Rattus norvegicus: one gene and its partner. The main gene of each other region encodes a partner of the protein of the gene in region 2 in a complex. Links are inferred from orthologs where the notes say so. Each region holds a gene or a part of one and is shown on either strand. Other genes may lie near its edges.

What was found. The genes of interacting proteins can lie anywhere in the genome.
Region 1: Stub1 (region 2) and Hspb8 share a complex: the UniProt entries of both Homo sapiens proteins name them as parts of the chaperone-assisted selective autophagy (CASA) complex. The link is inferred for Rattus norvegicus from reciprocal best matches to the Homo sapiens genes STUB1 and HSPB8.

What each region holds. Positions count from the first base shown.
Region 1 is NC_086030.1:45,849,858-45,852,571, reverse strand, and holds the end of Hspb8 (heat shock protein beta-8), read right to left. Parts: intron 1,616-2,714; coding exon 1,456-1,615; 3' UTR 633-1,455; downstream 1-632. UniProt on the Homo sapiens protein: Involved in the chaperone-assisted selective autophagy (CASA), a crucial process for protein quality control, particularly in mechanical strained cells and tissues such as muscle. Displays temperature-dependent chaperone activity.
Region 2 is NC_086028.1:15,354,698-15,359,070, forward strand, and holds Stub1 (E3 ubiquitin-protein ligase CHIP), read right to left. Parts: upstream 2,863-4,373; 5' UTR 2,760-2,862; coding exon 2,598-2,759; intron 2,177-2,597; coding exon 1,978-2,176; intron 1,895-1,977; coding exon 1,729-1,894; intron 1,696-1,728; exon of another isoform or gene 1,564-1,695; coding exon 1,476-1,563; exon of another isoform or gene 1,293-1,475; coding exon 1,236-1,292; exon of another isoform or gene 1,150-1,235; coding exon 1,033-1,149; exon of another isoform or gene 955-1,032; coding exon 829-954; 3' UTR 581-828; downstream 1-580. Other genes in the region: Jmjd8 (jmjC domain-containing protein 8), read left to right, coding at 1-17, 96-163, 243-377, 456-536. UniProt on the Homo sapiens protein: E3 ubiquitin-protein ligase which targets misfolded chaperone substrates towards proteasomal degradation.

The sequences.
Region 1 (2,714 bases), on a different chromosome or scaffold from region 2:
AGACTTGACCCTACCTCATAGGAGCCTAGTGTGACTGAATATATAAAATCAATTAGCTGGAGTGTCTTTCACCAAGTAAGGATTCAGAGTCACTGTCCCAGCTTGATTTCTGTTGCTGCGATAAAACACTAACGAAACCTAATTGTGGGCGGGGAGGGGTACTTGGCTCGTACCCTTCCGCTGTGAGCCAAAGCAAACCTTTCCTTCCTTAAGCTGCTTTTGTCAAAATAATTTTTCACAGCAACCAGAAAAGTAGCTATGACGTCATCCCATCCTCTTGGGCCACCAGGAATTGGACTCTGGACAGACGTATGACCTTCGACGTCCCTTTCACCCCAGCCTTCTCCTCCCTACATTGTCACAGGAGGATGGATTCTAGCATCTGTATTTCAACCTCGAGGACAGACTATGGCTGTGTGGAGTCACCACAAAGGGCGTAGACCAAATACAGGAAGCAGAACGGCAGAAACAGCTCTGCCGGCACATCTGAAGTTCTTGTGGAGTAGGCTTGAAGCATTTATACCGTCCTGCCCGCTATTCATTGAGAAATCATTACTTGAGGCCGTAGCATCCTGATAGTGTGTGCACCTCGGTGATAGAACATTTAGTTGCTCGATAAATGAAGCACGGAGTGCTAAGAACATCAGCTCCTTTATTATGAACATTATTATTTACTCTTATCTTCCCCCTAAACAACAGCTCAATTCACACAATGAAGACACCCCCACCCCCACATACACAATACCACTAGCCTGCGTGCCAGGCTGTCTGACCTTTGCTTGGTTCCTGGTGGAGCTGCCTGAAGACAGCTCTCTGTAAAAACCTGACTTGGACACAGGGGACACAATAAAGGGGACCTTAGCCGGAGAATTAACTGAGGGGCTCCCAGAGTCCTTGGTGGTGATGGTTTGAGAGCCATGGGGTCATGCTGTGAAAAATCCAGACTGTGTTTTATGTGGATAAATCCCATATGGGGATATAAGACCTATCTATAACCTCTTCTAGACAGAGAGTTTAGAAACACACTGAGGTAAGCCAATGAGTCCCATCAACCAAGCCACATATAAGGAGGGCCCAGAGCAGGGGATCTGGGTGGTGGGAAGGTCCCCAGAGAAAAGCAAGTCTTGCGTTAGCTGCAAGGTAAAAATGTAACATGAAATCTTCAGTCCCCATTTGCTTGTTTTGCAACTATAGACCGTGTGGTGTCTTCACCCAGACAAGGTGAAGAAAAACCTCCCAATACTTTGACCTAAGGCAACCAAGCGAGGCGGGCCCATTGTGTCACCCTGTGGAGAAATCTACTACTACATTATCCAGGGATGGTCATTTGGTTCTCCCTCCCATCCCCCAACATCTGAGTTGCCTTAAATCTGAGTGCTGCTAAAGTCGTCTACCCTCAAATCAGAGAGTCCCTGGGGCAGGGGCCTGGAGCAAAGAAGGACCAAGGCTGACGTCTTAGGAGCAGGTGACTTCCTGGTTGTCTTGAGGAAGCTCGTTGTTAAAGCTGCTCTCTCCAAAGGGTGAGTAAGGAGGGACCTGGGGAGCCTCAATGATGAGCAGACCCTCTGGAGAAAGTGAGGCAAATACAGTCACTGGATCCACTTCTGCAGGAAGCCTGGGAGAGCAAAACACAAGATCTTACCCACTGATTGTTTTTAAACTAGCTGAAACTACTGTATTCGTTGGAAAGAAAATGTTCTTTTGCATGTTTGTATGTGTGTGTGCACACCCGTGTGCATGCGTGTGTGCACATGAGTGTGCATGTGTGCGTGTGTGCACGTGCGCACCCAGGCATCCCCCCTCCCATCAGAACCTGATTTTGGGAATCTTCCCCTATTGTTTGCCTTCTTATTGTTTGAGGCACAGGGTCTCTCACTAAACCTGGAGTTTGTGAATTTGGTGAGGCTAACTAGCCTTTGGGCCTCAGGGATACTCTATCTTTCCACCTCGGTTACAGACGTGTGTGGTCGCACCTGGCTTCTATGAAGGTGTCCCGATCTGAACTCCGGCCTCGTGTTACCATCTTTTAAGAGTCTCGTTCAGTAAACCACGTGAATCCAAGCCTCTGTTTCATAGATCATGAGACCCGCGGGTGGAGATGGCAGAGTCAGATAAACTTGAGTCAGAGAGCACCAAAGATGGGATCTGTGTTTTCAAATCTGATTCTGCTTCTCAGAAGGACTTGGGAGGTGGGAGGAGACAGCCTCTTGCTGAGCCCTGGCTGGCCTTAAGACCTTAACTTTTAGACCTCCCGAGGACTGTAATTGTAGGCATGTGTCACCCCACCCAGCTCTAAGAATTAAAAGATCTTTTCTTTGTTATTTGGTGGGAACGAAGCTGCCCAGTATATGATTTCTTCTTCCACAAACTCGAAACCATGAGGGCATGTTAATGGTTTCCTTGGAATGCCCATATTAGTAAGAATACAAAAGCCCATGACCGGCTGAGCCCTTTCAACATTTCGGGTGTTGCCTCAGATTCGGTTGCTAAGAATCCCGCCAAGAAGGTCCTATTACCATCCCTACTTCACAGGCAAAGATAATGAGCTTCGAGGTGGTTACGCTTGGTGTTGGCAGATAGACTCAGAACTAAAATCCTGGGCTCCAAAGAGCATGTTCTCCTGCCTCCCCTGGTACCAGTCACGTGAGGGAAGGACAGAGTAGCCAGGATCATCAGAGACCTTCCCACAGGCCCAGCTAGCTCTGCCTCTCCAG
Region 2 (4,373 bases):
TAGCTTTGGAATTGCAGGTAGGTGCTCCTTTCAAACAGATTTGGGGGAAGCCCGTATATATTTTGTTCATCAGCTATTCACAACTGACCCCACAGGAGCTGGATCTGGGGTACCCTTCCACTGGCATGGGCCTGGTTTCTCAGAGGTTATCTATGGTCGGAAGGTCAGTGCAAGGGTGGGGCATGAATTTGGTGTTTGTAGTCCATAGCACATGAGAGTGACCTTAACATTCCTGCCTCCAGCGCTGGTTCCTCTACCCTCCTGAGAAGACACCTGAGTTCCACCCTAACAAGACCACGTTGGCCTGGCTCCTGGAAATATACCCATCTCTAGCCCCATCAGCTCGGCCTCTAGAATGTACCATCCAGGCTGGTGAAGTCAGTAGCTGGTAGGTGGGGGTTGGGCTAACCCAAAAACTAGGGAATCAGACTATTTTTCCGTGCCCCTTCTCCCAGGCGCTGTACTTTCCTGATCGGTGGTGGCATGCCACACTCAATCTGGACACCAGTGTCTTCATATCCACTTTCCTTGGCTAGCCAACAAGCGACTGGCAAGCCCACTGCACCAGCACATGCCAATGTAGTGCTCACAGACTTTATTACAGGACAGTGGCAGCAGCAGCAGCAACCCACCCTCACCAGCTCTCCAGCCCAGAAGGGAGACAAGGGAGGCTCATGGCCCAGCAAGGGATATGCTGAGAAGGGGAGCAGTTCAGAACCCATCATCAGGACCGATGGGGGCAGGCCCAGGGACACAAACTATATACAGGGACTGGAGCTTCTGCCTCCAGACCCTCCTGGGCCAGGGTGCCAGGCAGGACATGGGGTATCAGTAGTCCTCTACCCAGCCATTCTCAGAGATGAAAGCATCAATGACTTCCTTCATGGCTAAGTTGGGGATGAGCTGTTCCTGGGTCAGAGGGCTCCGGGTCACAGGATCGAAATGGCCCACGCGCTGCAACGACAGAGTCAAGAGTATTCAATGGCCTGAGTGTCCCCTGATCCCAGTCCCGAGACCACAGGCCCTCCTTACCTGCAGGTGCTCCTCAATGTCCTTGCGGTCATAGGTGATGCCACTGGGTGTAATGCAGGGTTCCCGCATCAGCTCAAAGCTGATCTTGCCACACAAGTAGTCAGGGATATCTCGCTTCTGCAGCACAAGAGGGAAATGTCTGCAACTGGAAAGGAAGTCACCATACCAGAGCCTGCCCATGAGCTTCAAGGCTCCGTCCTTACCTTTCTTTTCTCATCCACCTGAGAGAAGAGCTCATTCATGTCCGCCATGTATTTATCCTGCAGAGTTGAGCGCCATGTGTGGGCAACTCCTGTCTCCTCCACACAGACACACACACTCTGTCCACCGGGGCACTCATGTCATGCATGGGCCAACAGAGCCACCATAGGCTGGGGCACTTCTCATGCCACACACAAAAACACACACACAACGACCCACATGTGGACTAGGGGCACCCTCACGTGCTTGGCCTCAATGCAGGCCTGCTGGGCCCTGATGTGGCCATCATCCTCATCACCCTCGTGGTTCCGCTGACACTCTTCCAGTTCCCTGAGGGTCAAGAAAAAGCCAGCTGGTGATGGCCCCAACAGGGAAATGACAGATCCCTTCCCATCTCAGGCCTCTTTCCTCCCGGGCTTCCCATGTACCGGCTGCTGTCCTTTAATAAACACTTGCACTGTTGACTCGGTGTTAACTGTTGGGGGCGGGACCCACCTCTCTCGCTCAGCAGCAATGAGCCTGGTGAGATAGGAGTGCAGCTCACTCTCCTGGTGGATGCGCCGTTCCTCGATACTGTTCCAGCGCTTCTTCTTAGCAATGCGAAGGGCACTAGGAATATCATCCCCAAAGTTGAGTCGCTGCTCCTTGGCCAAACTATAGGCTGGGGGAGTGGACACTTTAGGTTACACTTGTCAACAATCCTGGCCCCAAAGGTGCCCACAATCTGGCATCTTGTCAGCCCACCTCGCTGCAGATTGGCAATGGCCTCATCATAACTCTCCATCTCTAGCTGGCACTGCCCCAGGAAGAAGTGCGCCTTCACAGACTGCCCATCCAGCTCCAGGGCTCTCCGGCAGTCAGCAAGTGCCTGTTCAGGCTGCTGCATCTTCAGATAGCACAGGGCCCGGTTGGTGTAGTACACTGCCACAAGTGGGTTCCGGGTCTGGGAACCAAGATCAGGTGACAAAGAATGTGGGCTCATCTGATCCCCTCTCTAATAGCAAGCTGAAAGCCAATGATCCGGACAATTCTCCAGCATTGGGGGCCCATGGGTGGAAGAGAGGAACTGGAGATTTCCGAGTTATCAGAGCTCTGGATTCTAGCCATGCTCTCTTGCCTCCAACTGTTTTTGAGAAAAATCCCAGAACCCCTCCACCAGCTTTAGGCTTGGGAGCCTCAAGGGGCAAGAATTTCTGGTGTCATCCTTAGCTTGCCTCAATCAAGCATCCCGCCCGCCAGTCCCCAGTCAATCTGCCCTGGATTCGGGAACAGCAATCCGGGTCTAGGCTGCCAGAAATCGTCCGGGAATCACAGAACTGGGAGGCACATCGGGCCCCGCCCCCGCCCCCGCCCCCCGCACTCACGATGGCGCGGCCGTAGCAGGCCGCCGCCTCCGGGTACTTGCGGCCCACGAAGAGCCGGTTTCCCTGCTCCTTGAGCTCTTGCGCACTCGGGCTCTTATCAGGGCTGCCGCCGCCACCAGTGCCCAGCCGCGCGCCGCCCTCCTTTTCCTCCTTGCCCTTCATGGCGCCGCGCGGCACGGCTTGGGCTCCGCGCCCGGCCACCTAGATCTCGCAGCCCGCGCAGCTATCAGCTCCGCCCGGTCGGCGATCCGCCACCGGAACTTCCGGTGTGGGGCGGGGCTGGCATGGGGACACGTGAGCAAAGGCGGAGCCTCGCGGATTGAGCGGGTTCGCTTAGCCCGGAGAAGCTACCGCTGCGCTCTCTACCGGCCCCGCCCTACAGTAACTAGGACCTACCCTCAATATTCAGACCAAGGCTCCGCCCATTGGCAGTCAAGCCCCACCCTCCGGCCCACGCCACGCGAACGTGGCAGCGGTCCGTGCTGGAGAAGTGGCGCTCCGAGGGCCGGTCACTAGGCCCAGGTCCTAGCGCGCCACCGGGGCGCACGCGGGCTCATGCGGCAGCCTGGGAACGTCTAGACCGCTGGTAGGACGGCGGAATTGAGGGAAGGAGAGAGGCCCGCAGGTCAGACCACCCTCGAGAGGCTTCCTCGGGAATCGGGAGAAGCTGCCTGCGGCCATTACTGGCTGAGAAACAAGCACGTGACGCGTTGACTCGAAAGGACCTGCTGCGGTTGCTATAGAGGTAGCTGCGGGTCCGCGGCTGGACGCTCCCCTTCTGCGGTCATGGGGCGGAGCTTCTTCAAGGGCGGTGCCAGCAGGTTTCCGTGGAGAGAGCCTGCACCAAGACCCTTTGACCCCAGGTCTGTAGATGAGGCATTTTTAGCCGCTGCTGCATCAGCTGTTGGCCGCTAACATCCCCCACCCGGGACTTGGAGAAGCAAAACTCGGCTTTCTGCCGATCTGTGCGCCGCAGTCAAACTTCGCTGCGTGGTTTCTGCCACTGCCTCGAGTGAGTAGGGAGCATCTTTGCACAAGTTGGGTGGGGGCTCTAGGAACTCAAAAAAAAAATGTCCCCAGAACCTCCTTGTCACTCTTTGCAGTGGCTACAGTTCCTGGCTTGCTAACGCTGCAGCATACACTCAAGTACTACTTGCTGTTTCTAGCCCAGGTGCAAGAGCTCACTGCATTTCTGAGCAGGGGCCTGAGGGGTCACCCAGGACCCCATCATGGTTCCGATGGTTAGTAACTCGACCCCAGAACTCTTGTAGATCTCTAGTGCCTTAGAGCTGTCTGTAGACGCTTCATCTTGTGAAGAGAGCACTGCAAACTTGGACTATGGGCAGATGTATGCCCAGACCTGCTGCCTGAACTTCACCCCAACTGGTTCTCCCATAAGGACTATAGACCTGCCAAGAATTACAGGACCCAGGCCAAGTGAACCTGGCTCTGTCTCGGGCTTGCCTTTGGAAGGGAGGCTGCAAGAACCGGGATTGGAAGCTCTTGGAGCACAATAAACGACTGCTGAACTTGGACTGACCCGGAAGTCCACAGTCTCTTCCCAGGGGCCCCACCTCCTGTGGATTCCGTCCCTGGCCAGGAGTGAAGCCACCACCTCATGCAGGTGCAGAGCTTCAGGGGAGAGAGAGGAAGCACAGACCCTGGAGGGGGGGCGTCTCATACAGCCTGGGTGAGGGGGCAGACAAGCCTGCAGAGCCCCAGGACAGCTACCTGGTGCTGTGTAAAATATTTATTCATTCTCCAAAAAGGCTCAGA